Linked DNA regions of Coturnix japonica. The protein of the gene in region 1 binds, or shares a complex with, the protein of each later gene. Links are inferred from orthologs where the notes say so. Each region holds a gene or a part of one and is shown in the gene's direction. Other genes may lie near its edges. The genes, in order: TAF1C, POLR2K, TAF1B and TBP.

Region 1 (5,570 bases):
TGCTAGCAGAAGAGCAAATGGGAGCAGGGTTGTGGCCAGGAGGATGTATACAGCAGGGAAGGGGACAGCTGAGAAGAAGGGCTGCTTTTTCCAGTGTCTGGCTGGGAGCATGCGCATGTGCTTGCATGCACGTGTGTTTGTACTGTGTGTGTGCAGCCCCAGCAGGCTGAACACTGACATGCATCTGCTCCCTTGCCTGGAACAAAGGCAGCTCCCCCTCCCTTCGTTGCCAGCCAACACGAAATGGGCATGAAATTCCCATCTGCGTGCAAGTGCACTCAATCACAGTTTCCCTTCCATGAACCACCTGACCAGCCCACAGTTCCCCAGGGGACCGAAGCTCCCTGCCAGCTGGGGTCAGTGAACTGGCAGTGGACCTCAAAGAGAAAGAGATGGTGAACGTGCTCCCAGGACATGGCATGGGGAAAGCACGCAGAGCTTCCTGACCCCATTACACTTCCTGGAGCCCACTCATCTGAGGTAAAGTGAGGGCACACAGGTGCACAGGGAGAGTCAGGCTGGAGCCCTGCGGCAGTGAGGCCACAGCACAGGCAGAAAAGCAGGAAGATGGAACAGAATTTCCTATCTATGAAAGAGAGAAAGGAGAAAAGCAAGAGCGCCTCTGCCCCAGGCCAGAGGCCGAAGAGAGGCGACCTCCTCTCCCAGAAGGGTCAGTACCACGGACAGCTCACCTGATGTCGGGCTCAGGACCACGGACAGCTCCCCCAGCCGCCCCATAGGGCCCCATAGCGCTTCTACTCCACAGCTCGGCCCCCTTCCTCCGTGATCCCCCATACACAACACCGCATACCCCTCCGCAGCCCCCAAATGAAGGCAGCTCCAGAGCCCGACAGCACACTCATTTCATCACGTATTCACTCCAGTGTCCCCCCACTCATCCTCACTGCACACACATCCCCCGCACTGCATGCATCCCTGCTGCCCCACTTCACAGCCCTCTGTCCAGGTGACACGCTGCAATTGCAGATCCCCGTAACCCCTGACCATGAGTCTGACCCCTCTCTCTGGGTGTCCCTGTGCACTTACACCACCTGTGTCCCTCCAGCACGCACACCTCTGAGCCCTCCCTATGTACCACATTGCACGCGTGCCCCACAGCCTGCTTATTGTCAAGCATAACCACCGAACACACATCTCCATGTCCCATTATGCCAACACCCCACTGCCATCTCCCATCACACATGAATATGCCCCATTGTGCTCACACGTCCTGCCCCACTGCCCACGCACCCTATACTCAGTTGCATGGTGTAATGTGGGGTACCCCACACATCAACGTGCCCTGCTGCACACTGACCCCACATCTCGCTGCACACACATCCCGCACCCCATCACACACACTGTCATCCCACGGCGGGCAGATGCTGCGGACGGTCTGCGCTCCATCCTCACCCCATTAATACAAGCACACACCTCCCCCCTTCCTCACCCCCATCCCCCACGCAGCGCTCAGCTCCCCGACCCCCTCGGCCCCTCGACACTCACCGGCGGGCGGCGGCGGCCATAGGAGGAGGAGGAGGAGGAGGGGCAGGAGCAGCAGGGGCAGGCGGAGGAGGGGTATCGGTGTGAGCGGCCGCCCCCGCCCGCCGCCCCGCCGCCCCATCCCACCGCGCCGGCTGCCGAGGGGCGCGCGGCTCCAGCAGCCCCGCCGCGCAGGGGCGACCATGACGTCATCCGTCCCGCCCCCTTTCTCCCTCCCCAATTTTCCTATTGGCGGTTCTGCTTGTCACTCACAACCGGCGCGGCCCCGCTTTCTGCTCGCCATGATACCTCCCACACGCTAGGGGGCGCTGTCGCACTCTAGGCCTCGCCCTTCCCGGTCATCCAACTTCCTACCGCGTCGGGACCGCGTGCGCAGCACTTCCGGTCCGGATCCGGTACCGGGCTCACCATTACCGCCCCCGGTACCGCCCATGGAGTTCCCGGGCGTGCTCTTCCCTTCTTACTTCGGATCCGGCCCCACCAGGGACGAGGGGCGTCCGGCTCCGGCCGCTGGATGGGGGGAGCGGGAAGAGGTGCTGCAGGCCGGGCCTGGACGGCGGCAGGTGAGGAGTAACGGGGGAACGGGATGGGGGAGGCCTGGGGGGCAATGAGTGAGGGGGCAGTGAGGGTATTGAGGGCACTGAGGGGGCTCTGAGGGCACTGAGGGGGCTCTGAGGGCACTGAGGGGGCTCTGAGGAGGCTCTGTGGGCACTGAGGGGGCTCTGTGGGCACTGAGGGGGCTCTGAGGGCACTGAGGGGGCTCTGAGGGTACTGAGGTGGCTCTGAGGGCACTGAGGGGGCTCTGTGGGCACTGAGGGGGCTCTGTGGGCACTGAGGGGGCTCTGTGGGCACTGAGGGGGCTCTGAGGGTACTGAGGGGGCTCTGAGGGTACTGAGGGGGCACTGACCCTCACCTCCATTCCCCGCTGTCCCTGCAGGTGCTGCCGCCGTTCGTGCCCCTCCGCAGCCACGAGGGGGAGAGCTGGACGCCGGCTGAGCCCGCGGCGGTGCCGCTGCTGCCGCCCAACGTGGGTGAGGATTGAGGGGGCACAGGGGGGGCTGAGAATGGGGCTGCCACCTGGTGCTGGGACGCACTCGGCAGCCCCCCCCCCCCCCCCCCCCCCCCCCCCCCCCCCCCCCCCCCCCCCCCCCCCCCCCCCCCCCCCCCCGCCGCCCCCTGCCCCCTCACAGGCTGCTCGGTCCCCAGTGTGACCGCTCAGGATATTCTCTACCACGGTGTCCTGCATAGAAAGCTGCAGACTGGGAAGTCTGGGGCTGCGCTGGACTTTGCCAAGCAGGTACAGGGCTTGGGTGCTGCTGAGGAGACAGGGCTGAGCTCCACCATGACATCACTGCACAGCCCCACACTGCTGTCCCCACGCAGCTAGGGCACTTCTTTGTGGATCATCCTGAGGACGCCTTCAGCTCCCTGGGGCAGCTGCTGCACAACAACTTCCACCTGGGAGACTACAGCCTCGGGGTCAGTGTCCTTGGTGATGCTGAGGGGGGCACTGGTGTACCCCCTCCTTTCTGTTCATAGTGGCACTTCTCTCCTCCCTGCAGAAAGGCAGTGCCAAGGACACAACCATCCGTATGACATCCATGGTGAAGAAGATCAACAATATGGAAGCCAGGCGGTGAGTGCTGCTGGGTTGGGAGGGCGGTGGGCTCCGACACCTACCTGGCACTGATTGTCCCCTCACAGTGGCTGCCCTCGGCATCCGTATGCCAACCACCTGCGCTTGTTCTCTCACCTGTGCCGGGACTGGCTCTTTGAGGTGCCACTGGGACTGCTGGCCGACTGCGTGCATGAAGAGCTGCTGCTACAGTGGACCAGACTGCTCTTCGATGACAGTTCCACAGGGGGAGCACTAGCCTGGCTGCCCCCTCAGGATGCAAGCAGTGACATGGGATGCCTGGTGTACCCTGGCGGGTTGGCCATGAACCACCTCTGTATCCTTTCCTATGATACTTGGGGGACTCTGGGACAGGGGAGCACTGTGTGGCAGTGCCCTTAGCCTGCACTCCAGATTTCCAGAATGTGGTGCTGGAGGAGCAGCCGCGGGCCCAGGGGTTGCCAGTGCAGTTTGAGCTCAACGGGCGCATCCGGCAAGTAGCTGCTGCCCGGGTGGATGGGCAGGGTGAGTAAGCCCTGGGACATGTGCACTGCATACAGAGATAGTGGCATCCCTGCTCTCTCATCTGCCCTCTCTCCTGTCTCCTACTAGACTTTGTTGGCGTTCGCTCTGACTATTACTGTGGTGTCTGGAGGATGTCAGGCAAGACAGGGGCTGCCCCCAGCTCACTGCAGGTCATCCACACTGATGTGCCAGCTTCCTGCCTCACCGTCAGGTGTGTGGTGGGAATACAGAGCTCTGGGAAGGTCCTCAGCTACAAGCCTTCCAATGTAACGCCATGTCTCTGCCCCACAGCCCACACCTGCCTGGGGAGCTGTCAGTCTGTACGCAGAGTGGAGCTGTCTATCTATGGAACATAGAGACAGGGTGAGTTGGGGCTCTGATCCCCAGTGTTTGGTGCTGCAGGAGGCAGGGGTGCCCCACAGCAAGGAAGAGCTCTGTCCTTTTCCCTACAGGCTGCAGCGGCTCCGCCATGACCCCCAGACCTTGTTTTTCCGGGACCACTCACCCTGGCGCTGGAGTGACTTCACTGCTCACCCGCGGGTGCTGAGCTGTGCTGACCGCACTGGCATCCTGTGCCTGGATACTCGGGTGAGCATGAGAACGGGGTTCAGGGTGGGCTGTGGGGTGACCTATGTCAGCCCCATGGTGCTGACAGCACCCTGTTATGCCACTGCAGGCCCCCACTAGATGCCACTTCAACTTCTTCAAGGTGGGTGAGGAAGCCAAGTGCCAGAAGGGTGAACGCGTGGTACTGCCCATGTACCTGGGTAGGGCTCACCCCTGCCAGTACCTCGTTGCCACCCAGGTGAGTCCTCCATGGCTCAGTGTCCCCAGACCTCCCCACCCACCTCGTGCATCTGGTTTGGATGCAGGTGGGGGGCACCCTGCTGAGTTTTGCCCCCTTTCAGTTTGCCGTGTACTTGCTGGACGAGCGTTTGCCGCTGGTGCCTGTGCTGAAATGGGCACACATGATGAAATTCCCCCCTCTGTTCGCTGATGTTGTGCCGGGAGAGTCTGGAAGGAGTCATAAAGTGCTGCTGGGCACCTCTCATACTCAGGAGCTGCTGTTGCTGCAGTACACAGGTGAGAAACCAGGTAGGGGAACGCAGATTCCCCTCATGTCCACATCCTGATCATGCTGCCTCACCAGCTCATTGTTGACATGTCTTACTGCAGGGGGCAGCCAGATGGCCTGCCAGCTCGCAGGGCCACCACAGCGGCTACACAGCATTGCCAGCTGCCTACCTCACCTCCCCATACAGCTCCCACACCAGCAGCACCTGCTCCAGCAGCGCCTCAGCATCCCTGCATCTGGTGAGTGGTCCTGGGCTGTGCAGGTCCTGCAGGGCTAGCAGCCAGCAGTCAGTGCTACATCAGCGTGCTTCAAAAGGCAAATGCTACTCAACGCCATGTGCAAGTTAAGATATTGATGGCTTGGGAGAGGATGTAGGGACAAACTGGGAAAGAGCAGTGAGTGCTGCATTCGTGGGGAGGTAGAGTAGGGTGTGTGGTGACGAAGCCCCATTTATCCCCATAGGGCTGGCTGCCATGCAGCATGGGCAAGGCCAGGAAGATTCCCTTCTAGTGTTCCAGCTCTCCGAGGCCGGTGATGTCTTCTATCAGACACTGAGGCACGAAGCAGCACCCACACCTGTTCCAGACCAGAGGGATGAATCTGAACCAGCTCCCACTCCCAACAAGGGAGATGAGGCAGCAGCATCCCCCGGCTCTCCCATTCTGTTTGGCAGTGAGGAAGAGAAACGGGAGGAGGAAGAAGAGCAGACCTTCTACTTATCCAATGTGGAGGTGATAATCAATGATGAAGAGGAAGAAGAGGAGGTCGTGGCCACACCAGCAGCCCCTGAGGAACCTGAGCCTCGTGCCAGCCCCAGGCCTGCCCCAGATGTACCCAGTGCAGCTGCCACTC
Region 2 (5,882 bases), on another chromosome or scaffold:
GATGAAAGGCGAGGCTGCCCTCCCTCCCGGCCAGCTGGCTGGGAAAGGCGGGGATCCTGCCGCCTCCACAGCTCGCCGCCCAGCTTCAGGGCCCGTTGCCCTTAGTGAGAAGCCGCTTCGCTTCTCTCCACCCACACCGGCTTCTCACGTGCGGCTGCAGCCGCTTTCCCTCGCTTGGGTTTGAACTGCCCGCCTTTACCAACCGCTCCGTTCTGCCACCCCAGTAGCGCAGCCCTAAGGCGAGAGCAGGGCGGGGGACGGCCTGAGGAGCGCTGCCTCCAAGGATGCGGACGGCACCATCTGGGCTCCGTGCTCTCATCGTACTTTATACTCCAGCTCGGCGGCTCCCGCCGCTCCCAGCCCTCCATAAAGCGCCCCGGTGCGGCCCCTCTGCCCGTCCCGTTCTGTCTCTCTCAGGAGCCGGGCTGAGGCGTTCCCGCTGCTCACAGCTTCTCAGAGTCGGGCGGGAGGCACCTTCAGCGGGTAGCCCGAGCCCTCACAGGTGGAACGTTGTCTGCACCAAGAGCTTAAAATCTGAGATGTAAGGGTGCTGATTAATTCATTTTAATTAGCTTATTTGTACCCGACAGCTCAGGAGCTAGATAATCATACAGAACTTCTGTTTTTTCTTTCATGGTTTACGCTTACGGCTCCACCAGAAACACTGTGAGATAAAACATGCTTTAAATCGTTGGGAGTAACTCCGAATGTAACGCCTCCACCCAGGGCAGAAAGATGGAGGTTCTCCGTGGTAACTAAGGCTGAGCAGGGCGGGCTCCATCCCCCCCAGAGCGGGGAAACGGGGCGTCTCGGTGTACGGGTAGTGCGACCGGAGGGTAACTGTAACGGGTAAAAACATTAGGGTTTTTGCGCTGGTTCCTCGTTCCATTTTAGAATGCGAATTAAAGAGTTTAGAAATGGAATCCAGGGTTTCCCAAAGTGCTTTCTGTAGCAGTTTCACGCCAGTCGGAAGAATTTCTCTTCAGGACCGGCGTTTATCAGCCCGTCGGAACGGGGCTATACCCCGAGGGAGGCGGCGTGAGGCACAGAAGTAATGGACGTTTAAAAAGACTCCATCCCACCGGGGAGCAGTTAAATGATGGATATAATCAAGATAATGAATGATTTTCTCGGGACAATCGATATATATTTTTTTCTCATGGGGTATAATTAGTAAGTAGGTTTTAAAGCATCACCTCGATGCTTTAATCATTTCGTCAAACCCGTTTTAAAATACAAAACGAGTGCGGGGAAAGATTATCGGCTTTACTTTAATTTCAGTGATTAGTTACTTGTGAGGTGTTAATTACTTTGTGTCCATCACCGGAGGAAGGGATCGTTCCGTTTTGGTTGGTTGATTTTTGCTCCCGGCAGCAGCTCCCACCTCGGAGGACCCGGGGCAGCGAACATCACTGCCGTGCACGTCCCGTTATTCTTACATGTGTTTTATTCCGGCACTAAGAAGTTACACTTAACTTTATTTTCGCACAGCAGCAAGACAAAGCCGATGAGCCGCCTAGAAATCCTTAGCACGTTGTTATTACTTCTAGCTTTCCCCAGGAGACGGTTGTTATTCGGCGTTCGGAAAGACGCATTTCCTCACATCAGGGAGATGTTATCTACAGAGCAGTATTTGTTATACGTTCTTACGTACCTGAGGACGTGCCATTACTCACACAGGGACGCCTAAGGGGCACCCAGCACTCGCCCAGCTGTAGGGCTGAGCCGGTGACTGACAGCACCGCGGCTTGCCAGTTTGTTTCAATGCGGGAATACATGGCACAGACCGCAGGGTACCGAGATTTAGTTACCAGCGCCAGGCTCAGCTCACTAGCGCTTCCAACTCTCACTCCCCCAAGGCTCCATCAGCCGCTATCCGCTGTAAACCCGACACAGCGCCTTAAGGACGGCGATGCAGACCCGCCCCCTCCGGCTTTGCGTAGTGACGCCATCATTCGGCGCCGAGGGGACGGCGAGGAGTGTGGAGGTTGGTGCCGCTTTCGGCTTATCCCTGCCGGGTTGGTGGTGGTGGTAGATTCGGGGTGAGGGGGGAGTGGGGAAAGGGTCGACCAAGCCCCTGGGGGTCAGTGGGGAGGAGGCGTGGCTGGCGCTGAACCGAGGCGGGCTGGGGGGGGATCATTGAATCATAGGCTCATAGAATGAGCTGGGTTGGAAGGGACCTCAAGGATCATGTAGTTCCAACCCCCCTGCCTGGCAGGGCCACCAAACATACACATTTACTAGATCAGGTTGCCCAGGGCCCCGTCCAACCTGGCCTTGAACACCTCCAAGGATGGGGCATCCACAACCTCCATGGGCAGCCTGTTCTAGGACCTCACTGGTCTCCTAGTGAAGATCTTCCCCCTAATATCCAACCTAAGTCTACCCTCTTTCAGCTTAAATCCATTTCCCCTTGTCCTGGTATTATCAAGAAGGGGAGAAAAAATGCTTTCTTTCTCTGTATGGTCACAACCTTAAAACGTAGGTCTGCAGTAATACCTACATGTTAGGTGGGGGTTGCTAAAAAATGAATTGTTTGTGGAGTAGTTGTCTGATATTGTGAAGGAATGTTGGTGAACCTGAAGGCAAAAGGTTAGCGTGCCAGGACAAACAGAAGTCCTTTCCAATGTGTATCATCTTATGTAGCATATATTAAACAGAGCTTGAATATTTTTGTATTTATTTTAAAAGAACTTTTTCAATTTCTGTCAACTTTAGATGGAGATATTGAAATATTTGTGTAAGACAACAACAAAAAACATGTATTTTATTTGTTGTTTTTGCTTAGAACATGGATTCACAGAAGGACGTTCAGCCCCCAAAGCAGCAGCCAATGATTTACATTTGTGGAGGTAAAGAAAAGACATTAGTGGTATTCAATGCTCTAATAATGAGGAATGTGCAGTCATAGTGCCACAGAGTACAGAAATCTACATAACTGGGTTGTGGATCCTGATGATGCATTAAGCTTTATGCACTGATGCTCCCATATGCATGGATTACTTGTGGTTATTGATGTGGAAGTCGTTCACTAGAACCTCTGTTGCTGTGTGGGGGTCCTGCATCTCTAGAGGATGATAGCAGAACTTTTATATATTGCATCTTGGAGACAAAGTTTTTTTGGAAATAGTGTTGTCATTCAACTTTCACTAATGCACAGTTGTCAGATTTTCTCTACCTAAACATAAGTTAATAAAGTGAAAATTGGAGCTTTTGAGTAACCACTTTAAAAGCCTCAGAAAAATTTAGGCTTAAGAAAATAAACTTGGTGGCTCGGAGGGGCTGAGAGGAAGGTTTCATTAGTGGAGTGTGGAATGGTACAGTAATGTTTGGATACTTTTTAGCAATCTAAGTTTGCCAATTCTTTTTTTTTTTTTTTTCCTTAACAGTATCTTAATATAATTCAGTTACTTATTAAAATTCACTGCAATTATTTTCTGTTATGCTTTGTTTGCTAGTAAAAGGAATTAGACCATTGTTACATCTGAAAGCTATCTGTGCTTTAGATATGCTGCTTTTGTTCACTCATTGCTATTCTCCTTCTCCATCATATCAGAATGTCATACAGAAAATGAAATAAAGGCAAGAGATCCGATCAGATGCCGAGAGTGTGGGTACAGAATAATGTACAAGAAAAGAACAAAAAGATGTATCCTTTTACAAAGGCAGTCGAATGCATTTGGGAAGCTGTGGGGCAAGCTGTGTAAGAAAATTGACTTCAGATTTATGCATTCCCTCTTTTTGTTCTCCTTGACCCCTTTCCTCCCCTGATCTTTCCTTGAACTGCAACGCATTTTTCTTTAACTGCACAATTCCAGTGGTGGTTTTTGATGCCCGGTGATTTGACCTGAAGATACATCAATTTTATACTTCAGTTTAATATTTCTGGCAACTTTGCTCTGTAAATCCATTGGTGTATAAATGCATAGTTTAGTGGTTTAAGATATTAAAATATTAAACTTCACTGTGATACTACTTGCCATACCATCTCAATTCTGTCTATACTACTTTTAGAAATGGGTTTCTTCCTTAAACTTTAGTCAGAATGTGCAGCATTCTGTTAAATTCATTGGTATTATATTCATTTTTGAGTTAAGTGTTAACCTTGTTTTCACAGCTCACACCTAAGCCTTACCTGTGTTTCAGCTCTTCAGTGTTTTTTGGACTCCTGTGAACTGCATAAGATAATCTTGGTTTGAATAAATCCCAGTGAAGACATATTGAAAGTCACGCAAAATCAGGTCTGAAATTTGGATTTGAACTCGACAGGACCCAAATCAGGATAAAAATAAATGTGTAAATAGAGATTCTCAGGCTGTTTTGTGACCTTGCTTGTACTCACTAAAATAAGTAGGTCTACAGTATAAAGAAACCTTGGATAAGGTAAAACTGAAATAACGTCATTTTGCTTTTCGGATGATTTCTCATGAGTCTGTATTAAGAAGTGGTTGCCGTTTTGTACTGATAAGCCCAAACTTTTTGCATCCATTTTCCTGTTCAGAACATTTATATTCAGAATATTTAATACTAAAATACCCATAGCGCCAATTTGTCTTAAAAAACACTGCTGCTTTGTGTGTGGTGCTAATTTAGCCTGATTAAATGCTTGCAAATCCAAATTTTGTTTCCAGTGCTGATGAGGCTGTTGAAAGACAAACATGTCATTTCACTGTTATCTGTACAGTATGATACCACTATTAGGGGGTGTGCTGGCTGCTGCAGAAAGCAACAGGGATGGGTTTTAGTGGGCCCAAGGTTGTGGGCAGTGGTGAGGCTCAGGGCACTTGGAAGAGCGTCGGACTGGATTTAGACTGGATGAAATACTACACTGAAAGCTGATGTTTTATGGAAGCTCAAACTCAACGGCTGTATTTCTGAAGGGAATACCCTCTCTGAAGTCAAATCATTTTTAAGAACCATTTTATGGAAATTATATTTAATAAAATATAAATTAAAGCAGTGTTATATGTTCCTAATAGTCAGAACGTTGGAGAGCTGCAGCTCGAGCGACCCCGCGCTGACAGGGCCGGCCGAGCCCCTCAGCTATTCACTCACTACGCGGCGCTCCTTCGCCATCGCTCCGCTGTGCATGCGCGGGCAAGGCGGGCGTCCACGGCGGAGGTGAAGGCTGTTAGGAGCGCGGTAGGTGGGTGTCAGGGCCGTCGTGTAACTCCGTGTCCTCCACAGAGCCGGCGGGGCTCTGCGGCTCCTCGCAAGGGGTTGGCTGTGTGGTTTCTTGCGGCTTCTCCGTCTATTACCTCCCCACAGCGCCGCCGGCCGCCATGTTGTACATAGCAACGGCTGCTATGTTGCCATTGCTGCCTCTCGGTAGATCTCCGTGAAGAAGAAATCGTGGCATCAGGTCATCAGGCAGTAGTTCTGCTGCAATTAGTACCTTGTAGCATTAAAACACGGCTATTCCTTAAATTAGCATTGCTCTAGCCCCCAGAGATTTATTTTTCTTTTAATGTTTAGTGATGAGTGATGCGTCAATAATGTATTTGCTGGACCAAGGAACTACTAAAACATATCAAATACCTATTGGTCATCTCGACTACAAGTTCATTGAAAAATGTACGGATGTTCCATACCTGGAAAAGATTCTCAAGGTGCTAAGGTAAACGTTATCTTTAATGAACTTCATTACTAATTGTATTCCCATTCTATCTCTCTTGAACCTCTTTGTAGTTTTCGTATTTAAAACCTTGAAATTAAGATGCACTGTGAAAGTAATTGTGGTAAAAGCGTCCAGATGATTAAATGAAGAGTTAGAAATTCAAGTCCACAGTGGATCTGTGTCTGTATGTCTGCTGGAAAATGGTTAACTGAGATTTTCTGATCAAAATCAAGAGGTGATAGATTTCAGTTAGAACAGGAAAATA
Region 3 (5,695 bases), on another chromosome or scaffold:
ATCTGTGATGCCGAAGTTCTTATCCCGGAGCCAATGAAGTTTCATAAGCAATATCCTGAAGGATAGGCCAAAGGACACGTCTTTTGGTTCAAGATGTAGTTTTTGTGCCTTCACATACAGCAAGTCTGTGCTCAAGAGCCAGAAATGTGGTATCAGCAGTGGAACCCAGTTCATTAAAAATTCAATTCAATGGAAACAACAGGACGTATTATTTATCTAAGCCTTGAATCAATCTGACTACTATGCATAATGATTTTAATTAGAAAAGTGAGCTGAAGCAGGAAGACAGTCTGTCTCCTGGCTTTGAAATTATCATATGCCTATCTGTATGCTTGAGTAACTTGTAATTAGGGACAAAGGTTACACATCATTTTATATGCTGAAAAACCGGTTTTGAGCATGTCATCTCAAAAAAAAAAAAATATTTAAGAAATAGATATAAGACTTGCTACCCCTATTACACTCTGAATTTTTGCTACCAGATTACTAGTCTGCACTAGTTAGTTGATGGTCTTAGGAAACATTCATGGAAGCTTTGCACTCATAAAAAGCCTGAATATGTAACTAGAACTACCAACACTACTCTTTGTACAACTTTTTTGTCTGAAGTTTGGTCGCTTTTCATAGCTTTACCTCACCTGCATGGAAAACATGGCTCAGAAAAGCTGAGCAAATTGTCCACAAGCACAGAACCAGCGCCTGCAGAGTTCTGTCACTGTGCTTCCTTTGCTTTGCCCAGGTGTGATTAGCAAGCAGAAGTCCACTGAGGCCCTGCCTCATCCAAGCAGTCATTCCATGCTTAATTTAAGCCAGTTCTTCAGTTGAATTAGATCCACGGAGCGGCCTGCTCACAGGGTGACTCCAAATCCAGCTCCCAGCAGGAGAAAGGCTGCGTCTTCTAACTGGGACACAGCTCTTCCTGGTTTACCATATACAGAGCACTTCTGATTATTTTTCAAGATGGGATTTCATCATAGAAACCCATTAGAAAAAGATCAAACTCCATCACACGAAAAGGCCTTGCTTTCCCAGAACTGTATTTTCACAAACAACAAAAATATATATGGAAATCAATATAAGAAGTAGGATCTGTTTCATCAGGGTATTAGCTGTATTTCTGCAAGGCTGATGATCACCTTTTTAATGGCAGGAATTATATGCATAATTCTCTGTAATGGGTGTTACAAATGTTCATCCCACACCGAAAAAAGATCACAGTTGGTATGAGTAATAACTTCTATTTTTCATGAACATAAACAGTTTCCCTCTAGCTCTGTACATATCCTCCAACATCAATGTAACCACAGCTGTCAAGGGAGCCTCACCTCTTTCCATGTATATTTTAGCTTTAATTTTTTCCCATGCTTTCACTCAGTGGTTTTTTGGGGTTTTTTTGTTTGTTTTGTTGTTGCTGTTGTTTTTAGGGGCCTAAACCTAAACCTGTTCTCCAATTCTGTGGGCAAATTCATTGCAATAACAGAGCTTAGTGTTCAGACATCACCATTAGCGTAGCAGAAATTAGAGACCTATATCAAGATCTGGAGGTTTGGTGGTTTTATTGTTGGTGTTTTTTGTTTTGTTTTTTTTACTGAAAGCAAATTTCAGATCCTCATTTCCCTCATCCAAGGATCCTGAAGTGCTTTATGCATTTATTGAATCACCAGGGTTGGAAAAGCACTGCTATCCTCTTTAAAAATGAAACATCCACGTTCCAATTGTGAAGTTCCCCATGTTTCCTCAGAAGTGAGGTTGGATATTAGGAGATACTTCATGTCAGACAGAGTGTTGGCACAGGGAGGTGGTGGAGTCACCGACCCTTGGGGTGCTCAGGGAATGTGGAGATGTGGCACTGAGGGAAGGACGCGGTCACAGAGGCCGCCCGAGGCCGCAGGGCAGGGCCGGAACGCAAGCGCCGGGGTTGCCGTTTCCGAGCCGGCCGACAGCGCTGGCGCTCGGCGCGGTTGCCGTGGTGGGATCCCCGGAGCGGCTGCCCGGCACCCGGCGGAATGGACGAGGAGGACGCGGTGCGGGGCGGGCGGCTCCGGGAGCGGCCGGTTTCTCCGGGCTGGAACGGGGCCCTGTGGGCGGCGCTGACACGCGGGGCGGGCGGTGGCTGCGGGCGGCGCTCGGGGCTCCGGTGCTGGGGCGGGGGAGGCCCTGGCTGCGCTCCCGGCCCGGTGTCGGGGTTGAGGCCCGGGCTGAGCGCGGGGCTGTAGGAGGGATCCTCTTCATGCTGCTTCTGTGGGGTTCCCTGTTCTCCCCTCTTGGGTTTCTCCGGGCACGACCCTCCATGCGTTGTGCAGGCAACCCCCACGTGTTTCTGAGTCGTTCTCAATTCCATCTCCAGGGCTCTATTCCCCTTCCTATTTCCGATGGGTGTTTTCTCTTTGTTTTCTCCATCACGTCCTGTGCCCTGTGTGTGATTTACTGAGGCACTGACTTAGTTTCCACGGGGAAATGGTTTTAAGTTAAAAGAGGGAAGATTTAGGTTGGATGTTAGGGGGAGGTTCTTCACTAGGAGAGTGGTTAGGCCCTGGAACAGGCTGCCCAGGGAGGTTGTGGATGCCCCGTCCTTGGAGGTGTTGAAGACCAGGTTGGACGGGGCCCTGGGCAACCTGATCTAGTAAAGGTGTATGTTTGGTGGCCCTGCCAGGCAGGGGGGTTGGAACTACATGATCCTTGAGGTCCCTTCCAACCCGGGTCATTCTGTGATTCTGTGATTCTATGAATGGGGTTATCTGCTATGTGAAACTATTTGTTTTTCTTCCTTTCAGGGGGATTTTGATGAGTGCTGTGCGCAGTGTTCAGATGTGAACTGGGGTCTCACAGATGGAGGCAGATATTATTGCAGAACTTGCCACAATGTTATTGAGGTAAAAAAGCGGAGCTTGTTGGCCTTCAGACTGCTTTCAGTCTGGTGTTTTCCTTGCTAAGATGTGTTACTGTTTTGCAGAGAACTCGAGAAGTTGTAAGCGCTGAAACTTTTCTTAATGCAAGAGTCCAGACAATCTCCAAAGGCTCTAGAAGTCAGAAAAAAACTGGTACGTTGTACACAAAGCTCTGTATTGTGCATAAAAGTGGATGCACTGGTTTACTGAGCACGTTGCATTCAATGGTGGCTGAAAGGAGATAGCTAGTAAGGACCATGAAAAGGAAAGTAATGCATCCCCAGATACTGTCAGAGCTTCTGCAGCCTCAGTGAGTTCCAGAGGCACAGGTGGCCTCCATGAAGTTGGTGGATGTTGTGCATTAGGCTTCTTAGCTTCATGCAGTCCCTTCTGCAATTGCAGTTGCACAAGACTATGTCAGTTTATTTTCATACATGTGAAGGGTTAAGCTGTATCTGCGGTTAGCAGGTAAAGCCAGCATCCTTAATGCAGGGGAGTAACTTGGGGCAGATAACTTCTAAGATGATGAGATGCAAGGTGTGATTGAAGGGGAAAATAACGAGTAACAGCTGTGGAGTGAATGTAAAGAGATTTGGGAGCTACAGAGACTTTTTCTTAAGACCAAGAGTATGTGGAAAAAACTTGTAAATGTGGAGAGGTATTGTGGAAAGTAAATGTAATGCTGTCTGAGGAAATAGTGAATAGATTGGAGCAGGCCTTAGGAGATTCATCATATGCTGAAATACAGTAAGAACTCTGAACATCTGAAAAACTTTCAGTTAAACCTGTATGATTCCATGAGAGACAGTGGTGAAGAACACTGATTTATTTATATATATTTTAATTTGCACCTGATGAAGTACTGCAATGTAACGTGTTCCAGTTTTTCATGCTGAATATGGGGAAGAAAGGACATTTTGTTCTTTCAACAATAGGTTCTACTTAACAACTGGTCACTAGGCAACTCTCTACTCAGTTACAAATGTCATGTTAGAAATGATAGTGAAATATATTAGCATTTGGAAATATGGTTAGAACAGCGCTTGTTCAGTAATATTTCTTCTTTCTTAAGCCTGTGAGTAAGTGGAAGTTAATGGAATATTCAGTGTAATGGTCTTTGATCTCATATCTGAAGTTATTTAATAAAGATGTATCTCTGCCCTGGTACAAGATAACAATATTAAGTGGAAATACCTTGCTTAAGGTTTAAAAAACACTTTCTTTTTAATAGATAAAGGCTCGGAATGGTATGTTTGTGAAGGCTTTCAGCTGGTACTAAAGCAACAAGCTGAAGCTTTGGAAGCATTGGGAGTATGTCCACAAATGAAGGTATGTAGAGATCAGTGTGAATCCTACAAGCTGTGAGTTGTGCACACTGTGCTTGTGCAGCAGGGCTGTTACTTAAAGATACTGTAATTTTGGGGGTAAATCAAATCCCTCTCTTTTTAAAAAAAATATCGAGTGCATGTAAACAAACTTAATTTTCTTTGTAGTTACAAAACATGAAATAAAAACTGGAGGTAATGAAATGAGAGCTGGAATATTATTTAGGTCCCTGGCTTAGCAATTCTGTTCTGTTTTCACATAAATTAATGGTTTTCTAAACCATGCACTAATTGTCCATTTGTGTTTACCAGGATGAAATTCTGTGCAATTTTTGGAGGCGTTACCTTCAGAAGAACCAACAGGCATATTGCAACAAACCATCTGGTGAAACTATCAAGGCATTATCAGTAAGTGAAAAGCTCAGATCCTATGAGATATTGGTTATCTTTTTTAAAGAGTAACAACAAAAATCTTTCTTTGAGCTGCATACCTAACTTTCATTAATCTTGCTCCAGCGAGAATGTCTTCTAAATGGAATACGACATGTCCAGGCTTCTGAAGTTACTTATTTCATTATGCTTTGCTCCTATAAATCGCCTCCTTTCTGGTCATTGTAGCAGATTGGGATGTAACAGAATCACAAAGAAATTTTTTTTTCAAGGTTTCTTTACATACCGGTGATTCATAGAGCAAGTAAATATGTGAACAGCTTGCATTTCAACTTCATGTACTAAATCTTGTATCTGTTGTGCCTTATTTAGTTTATTCAGATTAAAACAGCAACTAACAGTAGATAATACTATGTCTTATTTACAAAAACCAGGGATGTGAAAGCAGTACAGATAGGGACAGTGAACCAGAGCGACCCAGCCTGCTTCATTTTTTATCTGTCTCTGAAAGTGATGGGGATCTACAGACAGATTGCAACTATGCCTCATCAGCTGGCAAGGTCTCAGGTAGGAGCAATGAAGTGAAGTATCTGGAAACCATTTTTGTATACAACTTAGGTGTATTTGTGCAGAATGAATTGGAAGGACTTGTTGATATGTAGCTGGAAAGTGTAAAGTTTTCAATTCTACCTGTAGCAGAAGACTTCTTTATTCCCCCTTTTTTTTTCCCCTCTAAAGTTGAGCATGATCTGGAACTGCAGAGGGAAGTTGTATTTTGTAGCCATGTTGCCCTGTGCATCCTGTCTGGAATGAGGAAAGAAAAAGCTGTTTTATCTACAAACCTACATGTTCACAAATGCTGGAGTTTTGAAGCATAAGCGCTTGTTTAGCTAACAGCAGAGCTGTCAGTCCTAACTGCTCTGTTTAAGAAAAAGAGGTGATTCTTTTGTTCCTTTTTCTTCTTCACGTTATGTGTTTTTTTCCTATCCCATATGCATTTATCTTTCTATTTCTTTTCCTTAGCAGTGTTTTTGGTACTTCTGTATCTCTTGTCCTGCATTATGTTTACTATCTTTATAGCCTTTTTCATCC
Region 4 (4,894 bases), on another chromosome or scaffold:
ATGGTGTGCACAGGAGCAAAAAGGTAAGCTCAGCTGGTAGGAGCAAACTAATTAAGGCCATCTTTTCTTTTGAAATCACAATGCTTTAGAAATATAGTTTCTTTTATACGGTGTTTATATACATGTTGTATATGTATACCCATATAAAATGGCTATGCACTGTAACTGTTTAAACTATAGGGGCAGTGGCAGGATAAGCACAATTTGGTGTTTGTTTCATTTACTGTGGGTCAGGAGCTCCAAGTCTCTGGTACCTGTAGTCTGATCTGTTCTTAATGGGATCACTGAGGCATCAGACTTGAAAACTGGCAGGAGAGAAATTCTGCTGTGAAGTCCTTTGGGAATCCAGAAGGAATAACCTAATGAGCAGAGATCGTGGAATCATGAAATAATTTGGGTTGGAAGGGACCTTTAAGATCATCCAGTTCCAATTCCCTTGCTATGGGCAGGGACACCTCCCTCTAGATCAGGTTGCTCAAAGCATCCAGAGAGCATCCACAGCCTCTCTGGGCAACCTGTTCCAGTGTTTCACCACCCTCACAGTAAATAATTTCTTCCTAATATCCAGTCTAAATCTATACTCTTCCAGTTCAAAGCCATTTCTCCTCATCCTGTCACTACACACCCATATAAAAAGTCCCTTTCCAGTTTTCCTGTAGGCTCCCTTCAGGTACTGAAAGGCTGCAATGAGGTCTCCTTGGAGTCTTCTCCAGGCTTAAGAACCCCAGCTCTCTCAGCCTGTCCTTGTAGGGGACAGAGTAGAGTTTTCTGCTTCATAAACAGTGAATGCAGTGTTAAAGTGTTCGGGACCTTGGTACTACAACTGAGTGTGCAAACCAGTAGTAGTTGTTCATTTTGGATGTAAACATTTTGCAACTCTCCTGCAACACACGCAATGTTTCTTTCCCAGTTAAATATTTGTGGCTTGGTGCTGTTTGCTTGAAGTAGTGCTTAATAAGGGAAATAAGCTGGCTCTTTTTTTCTCCCTTCAGCGAAGAACAGTCCAGACTGGCAGCAAGGAAGTACGCAAGAGTTGTTCAGAAACTGGGTTTTCCTGCGAAATTTTTGGATTTTAAGATTCAGAACATGGTGGGCAGCTGTGATGTGAAGTTTCCTATCAGATTAGAAGGATTGGTACTCACACACCAGCAGTTCAGCAGGTAAATGAAGGTTTGCCTACCTTTCATTCTTGCTGTGTTGTGACTAGCTTAGAGCGGCATCTGTTTAGATTGTTCCCTTACACCAGAGAGGATGCAGCATCTTTGTTCCTATCCTAGCTCTGCCTCTGGAGTAACTGATGTTATTTTCATGGGTAGATATTGGGCAGCGATTCTTTGCTACTCATCCCAAATGGTTTACATCTGCACTGTCCATTTCTGCAGCCCTGCAGATGAAGGGCAAGGACATTTGTCTGTTGGCACGTTGAAACACTGTGACTCTTCTCTTACAGCTATGAGCCAGAATTGTTTCCTGGCTTAATCTACAGAATGATCAAGCCAAGAATTGTTCTGCTTATTTTTGTTTCTGGAAAAGTGGTTTTAACTGGTAAGTCAATATTTTCTTCCAGTAGGTTAGATTTAGACTGCATTAGAAACAGTGCTCCCACAAGTATGCAATTTATTAGCTGCTCTTCTTCAGAAACAACAGTACTGGGAAAGGAACAGACAGCACAGTATTTTGTGGATGAGAACCCACAGAGCAAACCACATGTATTTGGTTAAACCATATAAGCAACCATCTTGAATCCTGATGAAGAATGGCGGGTGCCCAAAAAGAGCCTATCTAACGTTCCCAGCAACATCCATAAGTCTGCTTCTGTTCACTGGGTGCGCGTGACTGAGCTCAGTGTGTTGTAACAGCTTGGTTGGAGGCTGCTGCCATTTCCCTTTGATGCAGCAGCCAAAGAAGGGGAGATACCCATGCTCTGAGGCTTCCTTAACCTTGGGGATTCTGCCTATACTCTTTCTTCCTTTTCCCCCTTCACTGATAAATGAATCCACAGATGAAAGAAGGAACATATACCTGCACTATGGCCTCTGCTGGCCTCTGCTTCAGTCATCATTTCCTTGTTTCCCCAGATATTTGCACTGTTGAATAAAACTGCTGTTGAGGCCTTTCTCCATAAACATCCTATGGGGCTGCGCTTTGCAGTTGAGTGTACTGAGAAAACATGCTTAGAAAATCTCATTTACAAGTATGTCATAAGCATGAAGATGGTAATGAAACAAACTCTCAGGCCTTCATTTATTACCCTTCTGTTTATTCTAATAATGTGTGTTCTATAGGAAATGTCTATTTAAAGGAAGAATTACATGCAGAAATAGAGAACTGTTTGGTTCTGAAGAGAGAGAGGGAATTAAGTCATTTTCTCTCTTCTTGCAGGTGCTAAAGTTCGAGCAGAAATCTATGAAGCATTTGAAAACATCTATCCTATTTTAAAGGGTTTCCGGAAGACAACGTAACAGTTTCTACATACTGCAGAGAAATTGGGGGGTACATTTAGAAAGGCATCGCGTATGGCACAGCAGTAACAAGAGATGGACTTCAGTGAAACTGCAACACCAGACTTGGACTATTTCCCAGTTAGTGCCTATTTCCCTGACACTCAAGGGGAATTGTTTTATCGATGATGATGTCTACTGAGTTACTGTGAGTTGCTTTGTTGGGCTGCTCCTTGGGCAGTCCCTCCGAGTTTTATTTATATTCTAGCTTTTAAATAGTTTTAATGCCAGTTCTATTAATAGAAAATTCATAAATTGGTTTAAAAGATGAACGCAACCGTGTCACTCAGTGTATAAACCACTTGAGTTGCCATGTATATATGTTTTAATTTCCTTCCATTAAGACCATGGTTTTTATAATTTCCAAAGTTAAGCTTTTAAATTCCTTCAGTTTTCAATTCCTTTCGGTGCCAGACACATTCCCTCTTTCCAGTATTAAGCAAGGCAGAATAAATTTATTAATGAAAACAGCTCACTGTACATATATATAAATATATATATATATAATATATATATATTCCTCCTCTTTTCTCCTTCAGCTCCACATGTACAATAAACCCTGTTTATACAATTATGGGAACTGTCTTAATGAGTTTTACAATTGCACAGCTGGGAAAGTGAAATATATGAAGAGGTTCTTTTCAGTTTAATCTGGATTTTTGACTAGCACACACACTACTGTCATCTGGAGAAAATCTGAACAACGCTCTGGCTTGCTTAGCAGTAGTCATATCCTTGGCAACATTCAGCCCGATTACTTCCAGTGCACTAACAGGAAAGAGAAGACTGGCTACAGGAGTTTGTGTTCAAGTATGTGTTGCCTCCCATTCAACAGATGGGATTTATGCAAGTCTTACACAGCCACACTTGAGTGAATTGGAACAAAGGATTCTTGGTTAGCTTCTAAGATTTCTTATAAATCACTTTTGTATTTTACCAACTATGACAGTCTCACTATATTAGTGTTCATATAAAATGTCAAAGCCCTTCCAACTGGAGTCAGTGTGTACATAATCTCCCCTTTGAAGTGTGCTTGAAGCTTAATGGGCTGAGAACTAAGAATAAACTTTTTTTTCTCCAGTACATTTCCAGTAATAGCCTTTTTATGACTTGCACATTCTTTCAAACAGCTTTTATCTAAAACTAACCCAAATGTAACCATGGTCTCTTAATTAAAATGATGTTTCATTCCAGATAAGTAGTTATGGCTGGCTTTGCTACCGCACCATATGCAAATCCTGAGTGAACTTATTAATTCTTAATCTTTGATTATTGCTGTAGTGGTGCACGCTATGCACCGCTATTAGCAGGTCTTTCAATAACTGGTTTAAATGATCTTAGCAGGAAGTTGATGTACTTACCTGGGCAGGGCTACATAATTAAACAAGATACAGCACACAGCAGTGATGCAGTATGTGGGTAAGCTGGTCCAGTGTTCATCTGTATCGCCATCTGTGCTGCTGTAGCATCTGCAGAACTGTTAACTATGGCAGGAAGACTTTACACACTATATCATATAGTTTTCATTCCAATCAGCCAAGCTGTGCTGTAGTGACAGGATGGTTTGTGCTATTCCAGGAAACGACCCTTCTAGAAGTGTGGTGATGAGTAAACAGCTTTACACTTACGGTGCTCTCTGCCTGCTCAGTTGAGGATTCACAGCCTCTAAACTAAAATCACTCGTGGAAGAATCACTGGTAAACAGGCATGGAGGGCTCGAGCAGGATAAGAGAATAAGTAACTGAAGTAAATTCTGCACTGTAGTAACTATCTTAAGTCAAATAGAACAATTACTTGTTCATTTTATACCCAATTGCCATTAATCACTACACCTAACAACTGCCAAGATCCAGCGCAGCATTTGGAAGAGAAAAGCATAATTAAGTTGCCTGTTTAAAGGCAATTTAACCGTTATACAGCTTAATCATAGCTATGACTGCTGTAACCTGCTGAGCATCGGCATGCAAGTGAGCTTAGAGCTTTCCTCTGTGTATTACTGCCCATTCTTATAAAGCACAGTTCTCTCAGGCAGTCTTCTATGATTCACAAATTCAGTTGCCAAAAGGATACTTTCACACCAGTCCAAAACCATTTAATCTTTATTTATTTAAGTAAACATTCAGAGTTGAGATCTGAAGTGAAATTCCATGAAGAACTGCATCTGGCTTTATTACCGACGTCAAGTTGCTCCTCTAGAGCATAACAGAGGTTGCTTAGGGATCTCCTATCCCATACCAAGACAAGTGTTAGACTGGGATCAATGATGTTAGTTCAGTTTCCTGCAGATGCACTGAAAAATGAGCTAAGTGTAATATATAGATGATTCAACTTAGGAACTTAATGGAAGTTCAGTAGAGTCTACAGAGAAGTCTTGTTTCCATATGAACTCCTCA

Evidence for each region.
Region 2: TAF1C (region 1) and POLR2K share a complex: the UniProt entries of both Homo sapiens proteins name them as parts of the pol I pre-initiation complex. The link is inferred for Coturnix japonica from reciprocal best matches to the Homo sapiens genes TAF1C and POLR2K.
Region 3: TAF1C (region 1) and TAF1B share a complex: the UniProt entries of both Homo sapiens proteins name them as parts of the transcription factor SL1/TIF-IB complex. The link is inferred for Coturnix japonica from reciprocal best matches to the Homo sapiens genes TAF1C and TAF1B.
Region 4: TAF1C (region 1) and TBP share a complex: the UniProt entries of both Homo sapiens proteins name them as parts of the transcription factor SL1/TIF-IB complex. The link is inferred for Coturnix japonica from reciprocal best matches to the Homo sapiens genes TAF1C and TBP.

The regions. Positions count from the first base shown.
Region 1 is NC_029547.1:8,326,728-8,332,297, forward strand, and holds the start of TAF1C (TATA box-binding protein-associated factor RNA polymerase I subunit C), read left to right. Parts: upstream 1-1,842; 5' UTR 1,843-1,934; coding exon 1,935-2,066; intron 2,067-2,440; coding exon 2,441-2,534; intron 2,535-2,693; coding exon 2,694-2,800; intron 2,801-2,886; coding exon 2,887-2,982; intron 2,983-3,065; coding exon 3,066-3,139; intron 3,140-3,207; coding exon 3,208-3,455; intron 3,456-3,532; coding exon 3,533-3,643; intron 3,644-3,730; coding exon 3,731-3,854; intron 3,855-3,934; coding exon 3,935-4,006; intron 4,007-4,095; coding exon 4,096-4,231; intron 4,232-4,319; coding exon 4,320-4,448; intron 4,449-4,551; coding exon 4,552-4,726; intron 4,727-4,819; coding exon 4,820-4,957; intron 4,958-5,180; coding exon 5,181-5,570. Other genes in the region: TMEM8B (transmembrane protein 8B), read right to left, coding at 1,507-1,687. UniProt on the Homo sapiens protein: Component of the transcription factor SL1/TIF-IB complex, which is involved in the assembly of the PIC (pre-initiation complex) during RNA polymerase I-dependent transcription.
Region 2 is NC_029517.1:116,286,147-116,292,028, forward strand, and holds POLR2K (DNA-directed RNA polymerases I, II, and III subunit RPABC4), read left to right. Parts: upstream 1-1,892; 5' UTR 1,893-1,912; coding exon 1,913-1,987; exon of another isoform or gene 1,988-2,018; intron 2,019-2,788; coding exon 2,789-2,852; intron 2,853-3,556; coding exon 3,557-3,649; intron 3,650-3,818; coding exon 3,819-3,841; 3' UTR 3,842-4,307; downstream 4,308-5,882. Other genes in the region: SPAG1 (sperm-associated antigen 1), read left to right, coding at 5,478-5,617. UniProt on the Homo sapiens protein: DNA-dependent RNA polymerase catalyzes the transcription of DNA into RNA using the four ribonucleoside triphosphates as substrates.
Region 3 is NC_029518.1:87,962,094-87,967,788, forward strand, and holds the start of TAF1B (TATA box-binding protein-associated factor RNA polymerase I subunit B), read left to right. Parts: upstream 1-1,843; 5' UTR 1,844-2,006; coding exon 2,007-2,024; intron 2,025-2,249; exon of another isoform or gene 2,250-2,457; coding exon of another isoform or gene 2,458-2,460; intron 2,461-2,774; coding exon 2,775-2,873; intron 2,874-2,953; coding exon 2,954-3,041; intron 3,042-4,119; coding exon 4,120-4,217; intron 4,218-4,525; coding exon 4,526-4,621; intron 4,622-5,037; coding exon 5,038-5,170; intron 5,171-5,695. UniProt on the Homo sapiens protein: Component of RNA polymerase I core factor complex that acts as a GTF2B/TFIIB-like factor and plays a key role in multiple steps during transcription initiation such as pre-initiation complex (PIC) assembly and postpolymerase recruitment events in polymerase I (Pol I) transcription.
Region 4 is NC_029518.1:36,556,960-36,561,853, reverse strand, and holds the end of TBP (TATA-box-binding protein), read left to right. Parts: coding exon 1-23; intron 24-992; coding exon 993-1,160; intron 1,161-1,450; coding exon 1,451-1,545; intron 1,546-2,382; coding exon 2,383-2,462; 3' UTR 2,463-3,584; downstream 3,585-4,894. Other genes in the region: PDCD2 (programmed cell death protein 2), read right to left, coding at 4,831-4,894. UniProt on the Homo sapiens protein: The TFIID basal transcription factor complex plays a major role in the initiation of RNA polymerase II (Pol II)-dependent transcription.